Linked DNA regions of Macaca fascicularis. The protein of the gene in region 3 purifies or fractionates together with the protein of the main gene of each other region. This does not show direct contact. Links are inferred from orthologs where the notes say so. Each region holds a gene or a part of one and is shown on either strand. Other genes may lie near its edges. The genes, in order: FAM83H, FAM83D and CSNK1A1L.

What was found.
Region 1: the proteins of CSNK1A1L (region 3) and FAM83H purify together in Homo sapiens (affinity purification with mass spectrometry; 3 studies listed by BioGRID and IntAct, with this or other methods). This does not show direct contact. The link is inferred for Macaca fascicularis from reciprocal best matches to the Homo sapiens genes CSNK1A1L and FAM83H.
Region 2: the proteins of CSNK1A1L (region 3) and FAM83D purify together in Homo sapiens (affinity purification with mass spectrometry; 3 studies listed by BioGRID and IntAct, with this or other methods). This does not show direct contact. The link is inferred for Macaca fascicularis from reciprocal best matches to the Homo sapiens genes CSNK1A1L and FAM83D.

The regions. Positions count from the first base shown.
Region 1 is NC_088382.1:153,390,880-153,395,151, forward strand, and holds the start of FAM83H (protein FAM83H), read right to left. Parts: upstream 2,898-4,272; 5' UTR 2,816-2,897; intron 2,091-2,815; exon of another isoform or gene 1,963-2,090; intron 602-1,962; exon of another isoform or gene 477-601; intron 1-476. UniProt on the Homo sapiens protein: May play a major role in the structural organization and calcification of developing enamel. May play a role in keratin cytoskeleton disassembly by recruiting CSNK1A1 to keratin filaments. Thereby, it may regulate epithelial cell migration.
Region 2 is NC_088384.1:95,066,173-95,069,777, forward strand, and holds part of FAM83D (protein FAM83D), read left to right. Parts: intron 1-3,051; coding exon 3,052-3,219; intron 3,220-3,605.
Region 3 is NC_088391.1:16,650,961-16,655,247, reverse strand, and holds CSNK1A1L (casein kinase I), read left to right. Parts: upstream 1-1,414; 5' UTR 1,415-1,824; coding exon 1,825-2,838; 3' UTR 2,839-3,818; downstream 3,819-4,287. UniProt on the Homo sapiens protein: Casein kinases are operationally defined by their preferential utilization of acidic proteins such as caseins as substrates. It can phosphorylate a large number of proteins. Participates in Wnt signaling.

The DNA.
Region 1 (4,272 bases), on a different chromosome or scaffold from region 3:
TCCTCTGGGAGGCTGAGGCAGGATAACCGCTTGAAGCCAAGAGTTTGAAACCAGCCTGAGCAACACAGCAAGACCCCATCTCTACAAAAAATTTTAAACATCAGGCAGGCATGGTGGCGTGCGCATGCAGTCCCAGCCACTTGGGAAGCTGAGACAAGGGTTGTTTGAGCCCAGGAGTTGGAGGCTGCTATGAGTTATGATTGTGACACTGCACTCCTGCCTGGGTGATAGAGACTGCATCGCTACAAAAAATGAAAATAAAACCAACCGCCCCCCAAAACATTTTATGAGTATTGGCTTAAAGACAAACATAATCCAGGCTGTATTCATCATTATAGTATTCACTTTTTTCTTAAGACATTCACAGGCCCCTGGCACTGTGCCTACTGGATAAGCTGGTGCCACCCATGCTGGCATGTGTCTGTCCCTGACTGCCTGGGAAACCGTGGGTAGGTCACTGCACCTCTCTGGCCTACCTCTACTGCACAACACAGCTGAGGGTCCACAAGACACCGTGCCTAGCCAAGGTGAGCGCAGCAAACAGGGCTGTGACCACCCTCCTCCTGGAATGGCAACCCTAAGCCCTACGCATAGCCCTGGGCGACACCTCCTCCCCATCCCCAGGGTTTCACAATTGGGTTCCCACAGCCCATTCTATGACTGCCCAGCCCTGCAACACTGACCCCTAGACTCTGTCTCTGTCTACCAGTCCCCCTCCTTCCCTTGACCTTTCTTGTCACTGTCCTTCTCAGATAAAACCTCCCTGGACCACAACCCCTTGGTGCCCACAGGGCCCTGCAGGGCCTGCACTCCACATCGCCCAGATCTGGCTCTCCACTTGCTCAGAGTCCTGTTGCCACCAGCCCCCCGTCCAGGGCAGCAGGGACCTTTCCAGGTCCTGGGCTCCCCACCATCATCCATACTTGGCTGCCCCACAGCCCAATCTGTTCTCCAAAGGGTCCCTGCAGGGTGCCTGGCCTCTCCAGAAAGGTCAGATGGGGCGCACCCAGGGCCCACGCCTGGGGTCACCGAGCTACCTGGGTACCTCTCCCTGGAAGGAGAGCCCTAGGGACCGTTCAGCCCATCCCACTGCTCCTCGGGTTGGGGAGGGAGGCAGGACACCTATCCCCGCCTAGCACACAGGTTCCCGAATGTTGGCCCTGGCTGGGAAGGTGGTTCAGCCCAGACAGAGGAGTGTGCCCTGGGGCACTGACAGGATGGGCGCTGGCCAGCTGGACTGCACGGGTGCTAACCGGAGCCACTAGGCTGAGAATGTTGGGGTCAGGAGGCCGCCGTCCTGCCTGGTACCCCCGGGGGTGACATGGAGTTGGGACATGGGAAATACCTGGTGCCACTCAACAGCCCCAGATGCCAACTGGCCTGGGAGAAGCTGTCCCAACATTTCTTTGTTGGGGCATTGTCCTCATGGTTGACATATGGGGCTCGTTAGGGCAGATCGAGGCCAACCACATGGGGGTGAGGTGTAGGCCTGTCTGGCTGGGCCGGGGCGCCCACTCACCACTGCCAGCCTGGCTGTAGGGGCGGTGTCTGACCATATAGGGCAGGGGGAACAACCCTGCTAACCTTGTTTGAGGGCACTTCCCGACGCTGGGGGACACTCTAGAAAGGACCCCCACTGTCCCTTAGGATTTCACAGGGGAGGGATATCCACACAGCATCCAGGCTCCAGGCTGTGTGTAATGGGGGCAGGGATCATCTGGACTGTGGAATCCCCCGTTGCCAGGAGCCCTCCCAGCAGACACCCCTCATCATCACAGGGTGATGCCCAGACCTCCAATGGCTTCATTCCTCACATCGTGTCCTTTCATGGGTACGTGTCTGCTGGGCTATGGACGGGGCCGCAGACACTCCCAAGCCTGAGATGGAGCACCCCAGTGGCCTGCATGCCCACACATTTGCCTACCAAACGCTTGCCCAAGGGAGGTAGGGCACGGAACCCACCCATGGCCAATGACTCAGCACGAATCCACTCTTCTGCTGCTGACCCCTGACCTCTGACTCGAAGTCAGGGCCCTCAGCTGGCCTTCAAGGACCCCATCCTCTCCACCCTGGCAGGAAGTGGGGTTCCTGAGTATCTGGAAGGAGGACCCCATGGAAGGATCCGGAGTTCCTACACAAAGTGGGGTGAGCCTGTGCCAAGTTCCGATGGGCCCAGGAGGGCGCGGAGGCTCTAGGAGGCGGAAAGGTGGGGTGCGGAGGACAGGGCTCACAGACCGGAAGTCGCTCAGTGGTAGCTTGCGGGGTGGGCACCCCAGCCCCCAACGGGGTCAGTGCACCCTGCGAGCTCGCGGCTGCGGCGGCTGGGTGCCCCATCCACCCACCCCAGCCCTGGAACATGGGCGCTACGGGCAGCCCTCCCGTCACTCGCCCTGCTTGCCAGGCGGGGATCCAGGCCGCACCCTGGCCACCCCAGTCCACGGTGGCCCGGGCGGGCGTCCCCAGGGAAGGGTCCAGGCCGTGCCTAGCACCCAGACTCCAGCTAGGCCGCGAGGGCAGCAGCGAGTCGGGACGGCCAGGCAGGCTCGACCCAGATCCCGGGCCGCTTCCCACTCGGCTCTTCTCGGGCTGCCGTCGTGCGAGGGCGCTCGCGTCCATATCCGCACAGCGGCGCCCCCTGTCCGAGCTGACCCGCCGCCCCGGCCCCGCGCACGCGGCCGCGCTCCACTCCCACCGCCCCTCTCTGGGTCGCGCGGCCCCGGCCCAGGTGCGGGCGCGAGGGTAGCCCAGGTGGGACCGCACCGAGGGGCGCCCGCCCCCGCCTCGCCCCGCCCGGGCCGGGGGAGGGGGGCCCTACCTGGCCAGGTGCGCGGGGTCTCGGCACGGGGGCAGCAGGAGCCGACCGCCGCCCAGCGGCCTCGCGGTCCGGTCGGTCCGGCAGCCACTCCCTGCCGCGGCCCGCCCGGCCTGATTCACGCGCCCGCCCCCGCCCCGCCCGTCGCTCCTGCCTCCTGCCTGCCCGGGCAGCACCTGGGGGCGGAGCGGCCCCACCCGCGGCGCGCCCGCATTCCTGCGCCCCGCGCCCGCCGCGGCCCCGCCGCCCGCCCCGGACCGCGCCCCCAGCCCGCGCCCCGACCCTCCGCCCCGACCCGCCCGTGCCCTGCGGCCACGTGCCCAGAAACCCCGGCCCAGCGCCGCCGGAGACCGTGAGGCCCCCACTTCAAAGGCCTCGACCCCCAGGAGCCCAACTGTTGACCCCAGGCTCAAAGTTCCTAGCCTGACCCCTGACCCTCGCCCCGGAAGTTGGGGTGACTCGGAAGTTCCGGCTCAGTCGCTAGGAAACAAGCCAGCCCGACGCAAGGGGCGGAGCTCTGACCTCCTCGCCGAGTTGGTGAAGGCAGGTGCGGCAGGTGAGGGCGCTGGGGCGGCGTCGAGCCCCGGGCGGGGCCGGGTCTGGGAGCCCCGAAAGCACAGGGGATCCATTCACCACACACCGGTCTCCCACCGCACCAGCGTCCCACACGTAGAGGGGATCCCGCCCAACAGAGGACCCCCAGGCCCCGACCCCCACCACACACACACACTGATGCCCACAAGTACCTGGGGTTCCCCATCTTTCTCCCTCATCCCTTCACATCCATGCCCACACTTGTAGGGGACTCTGCTGCAGTGACCCCCAATGCACATGCGGACCCCGAATGACCTGTCCCTCGTGTGCACCAACCCCCCAAGCACAGGAGACTCCTCAGGAAGACAGAACCCAACAAGAACACCCAGTCCTGTCCACTTCAGTCACCCACAAACACGCTGACGTCCGCACACGTAGGGAACCCCACCTGCATGTGAGATCCCTCAGACACCGATCCCACACACAAACAGGGATGCCATATTCACACTGACTCTGAGAGACCAGGGGACCTCCCTCACACATATAGAACCCTGGGTGTACACTCGGGGACCCCGCGAAAACCAAGCCCCAACACGGACAAGGGACCCAGTGTGCACACCAAGCCTCACATACCAGACGCCCCCGCATGAACACAGCAACCCCACACACTACCCCGAGCTGCCCCTGGGTGCTCCAGTACCCCCAAATCCCCCTCAGGCCCTCACTTAGGGCCTCTCCCCCCACTTAGGCCCTGCCCTGCACTGGATTACCTGTCCAAACCACCACCCTTCACCCCTGCCACTCCCACCCCAAGGACTGGCCCTGCCTGAACGCTTTCTGATGGTATCAGTCACCTTTCTGTTTGTCCCTCTTGCCATGTGATCCTATTTTCTGTTTTCAGGGTCACTCCCAGTTTCATTTGTTCT
Region 2 (3,605 bases), on a different chromosome or scaffold from region 3:
CAGTTTCTCCCATCCTGTTGGATGCTTCACTTTGAACTCATTACTCTTATACAGGCAATGTGGAGAAGTTTGAAACTGATTCCTCAGTTGGCATTCAGGGCCTTCTGTGATCTTGCTCATTCATCCATCTTTTCCAGTCATGTCCCGTGACTCCCTTTTATACATGCTGTACGTTCCAGCTAGACTGGTACATACCCCGTCATTCCCTACCTCTTCCTTTGTCATCATATGGCTTCCCGTGGGAATGCCTTCTCCTCCCTTCACTTCTCCCATGCCCTTGTCCAAGTGTCCTTGTGATTCAGCTCAAATGCCATCTCCTCCAGGAAGCCTTCCCTGCTCTTATCTGGTAAGCATTTGAGTACCTATAGTGCCTATAGTCCACCACTGGAGGAGACACCTTGTTTTTGTTTTGTTTTGTTTTGTTTTGTTTTTTGAGATGGAGTCTTGCTCTGTTGCCCAGGCTGCAGTGCAATGGTGCGATCTCGGCTCACTGCAACCTTCACTTCCTGGGTTCAAGTAATTCTTGTACCTCAGCCTTCCTAGTAGCTGGGATGACAGGTGCATGACACCATGCTCAGCTAACTTTTTGTATTTTTAGTAGAGACAGGGTTTTACCATGTTGGCCAGGATGGTCTCAAACTCCTGACCTCAGGTAATCCACCCACCTTGGTCTCCCGAAGCACTGGGATTATAGACATGAGCCACCATGCCCAGCCCCCTTAGTTTAATTGCTTAGGCTATATATATCATTTTGCCTCTCTGCATCCTGTGTCCTCTCCTTGAGGTAAGTTGGGTCTATGTCAAATTCCTCATAGCCATCTTTCTGCCTAGTGCAGTGTGCAGCCCATGGTGGGCTCTGAGGAGGTCTTGGCTGCATAATAGCACCCGTTTCCTGCCTTGCCCTCCTGTGCTAAGCCCTTTCCATGCTTTATTTCACTTAATCCTCACAGCAGCCCTTTGACCCAGATGCTATTAATTGTATCCTCCTGAGGAGGAAACTGAGGCTCAAGAGATTAAGCCACTTGCCCAAGGTCACAGAGCTGGTAGGTGGTAGAGCTGGGTTCTATGCCCAGACCTTTTGTCTTTAATCCCTGCTGTATGACCCGAATGAGTAGGATGAATAGGACTGTCAAAATAGGATGTGTAAAGCCAGTGGAGGATATAAACTTCCGAGGATGCCATGAGTTCAGAAAGAACGTTTCTCGTTTTTTAAATCACTGTGTTCAGTGGGTTTCAGCCTTGCTCTTTACCAAGAGTAGCCCACAGCTTACAGCATCATTAAAAGGGGTGGGGAGGGAAAGGCAGCAGGAGAGTAACTGGTCTTCTCGACTCCCTCACAGCAGTGACTTCCCAGGAACTGGCATTTCAAGGTCTCACATCCTAGTAGACCACGCCCTGGAGTGTTGGAGAAAGATATCCAAATTGCCTTTTTGTCTCTTTATTCCTTCTTTAGTTCCCCAAATCCTTAAGGAGTAATGACTGTCATGTACTGTCCTGAGTCCTCTGGGACCACAGAAATGAATCAATCCCATTCAAGAGCCTTTGCTGCAGTAGAAGGAGTGAAACCCATAAATGAATAATCCTAACTTTCAGAAAAAGAGTTAATGTGATTCTGAGAGACAGGCTTTTACTGTTGAAATGGGGAGGAAGGAGAAACCCATATAGCTCCAGACTACAGAAGAGCTCCCAAGCCTTGGTTTCCTTAGATAACACCCCCGGCTTCTGACTCAGTTTGTCAGGACCTGTTTCTAAGCCTGGATGTTTGGACACCCCCACTGCCTTGCCAGGAGTTTGCTGAGGACCTTGGTTTTAAGCCTGCAAAGGGTGTGATTAGAGGCATTGTGGCTGGAGCAGCCTGTCTTTAAAAGAGCGAGGAAAGCTGAGCAGTGTCTCCCTGTGTTGAACTGTCTGGACAGCTCCAGCTCGGGACTGGTAAAGTGAATAAATGAGCAGATACTAAGGGTTCCTTTGTACCTTGTACTTTATGTAACATAGTCATTTAATTCTCGATACAAGCCTATTTTGCAGCTAAGGAAACAGACATTTGAAACAGCTGTAATTTGCCCAAGAATGCGTGGCTAAAAGGTGGCTCTTAATTGTAGTCTGATGCTAGATGTGGAAAATCACTTGGGAGGCATGAATGGAGCCACGTTGTTGGGGAGTAGAAAGGCCTACTCTGAGCTTAAGGGCAGAATCCTTAGGAAATATTTCCCTGTTCTTTGCTATGGGCTTGCACTGTGGACAATACCAAAGAACTGCAGAGAGAGCCTTTTACTGAGGAGAGGCCGGTGTGGTGGAAGCCATTTGGTTAGAACCTGCCCAACAGACAGCTGATCAGGCCTGGCTGGTGGAAAGAACAGAATGTTAACAAATGTGGTATGCAGTAGGAGGGAAGCAGAAGATGGGAGAATCCATGGGCCTGCTTTGGTTGCTTTCAAGTCATGAGTTGATGGTGAATGGGGCAGGCCTTAAAAAAGTCAGAGATTAAGATTTAAAACCAGACAATAATTTAAAAAGTAGATTTCGAGAATGCTACCCCCAAGAAGGGCCCTCAGAATCTAAGGTTTTATTTACTTGTTTAACGGACAGCAAACTGAATCCTGGTGGGGAAATCTACAAGCCAAAGATAACAGTGTGTTACCCACAGAACCAGACAGCTTGCTGATCTGAATTAAGCCTGTAAGACAGGGGTTTAGTGGAGGAATAGAAGGTGAATGGAGCAGGTTCATAAGAGAGCAAGGCAGTGGATTGATGTGTATTTTTGAGAAACCTGCCAGCATGAACAGTTTAGTTGGGAGTGTTAGCTCCTAGTGACAGCATGGAGTGTTAGCTAGGCCAAGTCAAGATTTGTAGGATACGGGGCCCAGGTGTCTTTGGAGGTGCAAAAGAGTCTATGGTGAGGGGAGCACCAATACTGCAGAAGCAGGAGGGAAGGATAACTGTTGGATAGGGATCATTTCCCAGTTCTGAGTGGAGTCCAGAGTCCAGACAGCATGCTATAAGGTGGTGTCCTATAAGCTGACCATGTGCTCTTCCCCGTTTCACCTGTAGGTGATTGCAGTGGTAATGGATGTGTTCACAGACATCGACATCTTCAGAGACCTTCAAGAAATATGCAGGAAACAGGGAGTCGCTGTGTATATCCTTCTGGACCAGGCTCTCCTCTCTCAGTTTTTGGATATGTGCATGGATCTGAAAGTTCATCCTGAACAGGAAAAGGTTTGTGGTACACTATATCCAGTTTCACCACAGTCAACGAATGTGACTAAGCATCCATGATCTACAAGGTCGTTGGTGGCAGTATCCCTGTTTACAAGGAAGGGACTGAGGATGTGAGCAAAGTCATTTGCCTGGTCTTACAGAAAATGGACAGTACCCGTGACCTGGCAATTCTCCTAGGAGATGAAAATATAGGCCCCCACAAAAATTTGTGTATGAGTTTTATAGAAGCATTATTCATAAAGTCAAAGAGTGGAAACAATCCAATGCCCATCAACTGATAAATGGTTAAATGATATGTTGTCTATTTATACAATAGCGTACTATTCAACCATAAAAAGGAATGAAGTGCTGATACATGCTACAGCATGGATGAACCTGCAAAC
Region 3 (4,287 bases):
CTCCAACACTTACCTGTAGTGTGGTCTTGGGCAATTCATCTAACCTCTCTATGCCTTAATTTCCACTTGTATAAAATGAGAAGTACAATCACAATAATAAAATATGCCAGCAGTATACTGTATTACTATCCACCTGTGGGAGGAGTATGTATTTTCACCCCACTGTCTTTGGACCTGGCCATGTGATGTGTTTCGCCCAGTGGAATGTGACATTTGCCACTCCTTTTATTATGAGAACAGCATGCTCCTAAGGAGGCTGCTCTTTCAGCCCGCATTCTAGAACAAAGAGGACACAGGAAGCAGAGATGCAGCTGATCTACAGCTTACATAAAACCTGAATGATAAATAAACTTTGTCATTGTAAGTCACTGAGATTTGCGAGTTGTTCCTGCTGCAAAGCCAAGTAATACACTGTGCCACCCACCTCACATATTTGTCTTAAGCGAACTTTAAAAATGTTTTAAAGCACTCTATAATGTTCTGTGCCCGTCTATGTCTCAAAGCAGCTCCTTCTCTCGCCATAGATTGATGCAGGTCAGAAAAGTTAGAAACAGCACTAATTTATGTGAGACAGTAAAGTGGGAATACCTACTTTCAAAGCTGCACCTCCCTCTCCTGCCCTTCTGCCATTGGTCCCCAAATTCGTTGCTACTGCCCCGTTAGGATTATACTCAGTTCCTATCCCATATCCTCATAAAACAAAATAATCGCACAGGTTTTGTTATTTGTGATGTGAACTGTCATAAAAATATTGAAATGGTACCGCTTTTTCTGCTAGTGTTGGCCCCAATTCTTTCGAGAAAATGCTCAGAACTGCCGGCGTCTGTTTCTTCTCTCTATTTTGGTTAAATTTTACTTGAATCCTTCATTTAGTCAGTTTTGCCAGAACTTCTCTGTGGAATCTTATTTAAATTCAAAGCACTCTATGAAAAAATTTCAAAAAGATCGCTTAAAAAACACACACACACACATTTCAATTTAACTAGCAGTAAGTAACTCTTGTTGACTAAACTCAATAAACAAGCAACCACTGAGACTGCAGAGAAAAAGCCCAAGGGGTGGCACCCCAACTGGCATTAACCCAGGGAGACATGATGGCTAGGGAAGTAGGTGGGACAATGACTGGGCCCGAAAACAAGAATATCTTTGTTATAAAAGCCTCCCATTTCTGCACAATTAAGTTGAAAGGAGGTGAGCTTCGAGTTACATAAGCCTAGGCAGTTTTGAATTCCAGCTGGCCCACAATCTCTTGCAACCTTAGGCCGCTTACCTGAGACTTAGCCTTTCTTACCCAACGAATCAGGGAAAATAACAGCTATCTTACAAGACTAGCAAGTTCGTGTTAAATGGAACAAGATGAGTGGAACACCTAACAGAGGACTCAAACATTAATAGTGTCTCCAAAAATTCTCGATTTGTGGTTGGCTGAGGCGGAGGAACAAGATGGCGGCGCCAGCGGCGTGACCGGGCCCTCGGGCCCACAGCCGTTGGCAGCGGTGGCAGCGGTATCGCTGCCGCAACTCGCTGTGCCCCCTTTCTCAGCCCGCGACGTCGCCGCGACAGCGAGGCAGCGACCGCCACCCAGAAAGAGGTGGTGGCCCAGCCTGGCAACCTTGAGAAGCCCTCGAAAACTGTGGCCTGGCGGAAACCCTGGTGTGCTCTGGGGATCAGGCTGACTCCAGGCCCTGTAACACCGGGAGAGGCCTCGGTGGCCATTTCCAGCAGCCCTCACCCTCAGCCTTGTGGGGCTGGCGGGCCCCGGAGGCCTCCATCCTCCCCTAGAGGGGTCAGGGCAGAGCCCAGCCTCCATCTTTGCCTCTCAGGATGGCAAACAACAGCGGCTCCAAGGCCGAACTCGTTGTGGGAGGGAAATACAAACTGGTGCGGAAGATCGGGTCTGGCTCCTTCGGAGACGTTTATCTGGGGATCACCACCACCAACGGCGAGGAAGTAGCAGTGAAGCTGGAATCTCAGAAGGCCAAGCACCCCCAGTTGTTATATGAGAGCAAACTCTACACGATTCTTCAAGGTGGGGTTGGCATCCCCCACATGCACTGGTATGGTCAGGAAAAAGACAGCAATGTGCTAGTCATGGACCTTCTGGGACCCAGCCTCGAAGACCTCTTTAATTTCTGTTCAAGAAGGTTCACCATGAAAACTGTACTTATGTTAGCCGACCAGATGATCAGCAGAATTGAATACGTGCATACAAAGAATTTTCTACACCGAGACATTAAACCAGATAACTTCCTGATGGGTACTGGGCGCCACTGTAACAAGTTGTTCCTTATTGATTTTGGTTTGGCCAAAAAGTACAGAGACAACAGGACCAGGCAACACATACCGTACAGAGAAGATAAACACCTCATTGGCACTGTCCGATATGCCAGCATCAATGCACATCTTGGTATTGAGCAGAGCCGCCGAGATGACATGGAATCCTTAGGCTACGTTTTCATGTATTTTAATAGAACCAGCCTGCCGTGGCAAGGACTAAAGGCTATAACAAAAAAACAAAAATATGAAAAAATTAGTGAGAAGAAGATGTCCACCCCTGTTGAAGTTTTATGTAAGGGGTTTCCTGCAGAATTCGCCATGTACTTGAACTACTGTCGTGGGCTGCGCTTTGAGGAAGTCCCAGATTACATGTATCTGAGGCAGCTATTCCGCATTCTTTTCAGGACCCTGAACCACCAATATGACTACACATTTGATTGGACGATGTTAAAGCAGAAAGCAGCACAGCAGGCAGCCTCTTCCAGTGGGCAGGGTCAGCAGGCCCAAACCCAGACAGGCAAGCAAACTGAAAAAAACAAGAATAATGTGAAAGAAAACTAAGCATGAATGAGGAACAGAAGAAGCAGAGCAGATGATTCGAGCAGCATTTGTTTCTCCCCACATCTAGAAATTGTAGTTCATATGCACACTAGCTAGTGGCTGTGGACAACCATTTACTTGGTGTAAAAAACTTTATTTCAATATAAACTGACTCTGGGGAGCGTGGGTGATGCTGTATCCCAAGGTGTGTAGCCGCTGTAATTGTGAATATTAACTGAGGTAGTGAAACATGGTGTCTGGTTTTCTATTGCATTTATTCAAGTAGAAAAATTAACTAAATGGTTGACACACACGAATTGGTGGAGACATTGTCCATATGCCAATTTTTTTGTTAAAACCTTTTATTTTGAACTAGACTGCTTTGATATCTCATTTCAGAAGAACAGTCTTCAGCCACAGCTGTGAAGGTTGTAAATGCTTACCATTGAGCATTTTTAGGGTTTCTCCATCCCTGGGGTCTGCAAATTGTTCACACAAAAAGCATTCTTAAAATGGTTGGCTTCTTGTTTGCAAGCCAGCTGATCTGGTAGCAAACAAAAATTCCAGTTTTGAGAATAGGAAAGATACTGCCTGCTTACCTGCAAAGACATAAGAAAATCTTAGTAACTACCAGATAATCTTTAGAATTCCACACTAACTTTATCATGTTTTCGGTATTATAAAAACGACAACAACAACCATATTTGTCACAGAAATTTAGTTAACATCTTACAACTGAACATGTATGTGCATTGTTTAGATAAATGTAATCACTGTAAACACCTATGTGATCTGGGATTTTGTTCATATTTTGAAATGGGAGCTTTTATGTTTTACAAGTTCACTTAAAACCGTTTCTGTAAGAAAATGATACTTTTTTAAACAACAACCAAAAAATGCCTTGCTGATTCACTAGGAAATAAAAATCTCCCCAATTTTTTGATAGTCAACTTAAAGTCATTTGTTACATGATATTCCTTTGCAAGTAAATTTTATTTCATGACATAACTTTTTTCAATGTTTTTATTCTAAAATAATTGTTTTGTATGAAGAGAAATGTATTCTTTCATTTTTCTTTTTCTAATGACTTGTGGTACAGTATCTAGTACTGCAACTGTCAGAACTTGGTATTGTTACTTCTTCCACTGACTAATAGCTGGGCTGATTTCAAAAAAGAATGCAAGCATTGAAGGGTTTGACTATAAAACATTGTTGTTTAAAATACTTGTGAAATGGCTATAAACAGTTGACTTTTACCCTTGGAGAGCACACTGTGTGAGGTTCTGTGATCATTGACCCTCCCTAACCCCCATCTGTTTCTCTGAATTATGTGTGTGTGTATGCGCTTCCTCTCAATCTCTTTGCACCTTCTTTTTTTTTCTCTGACGCAAGATAAAGGAAAACTCATTTTCCTTTTAATTCTTTAAATAGTGTAATTTATTCACTTATAGCATGTCAGGATAAATTAAA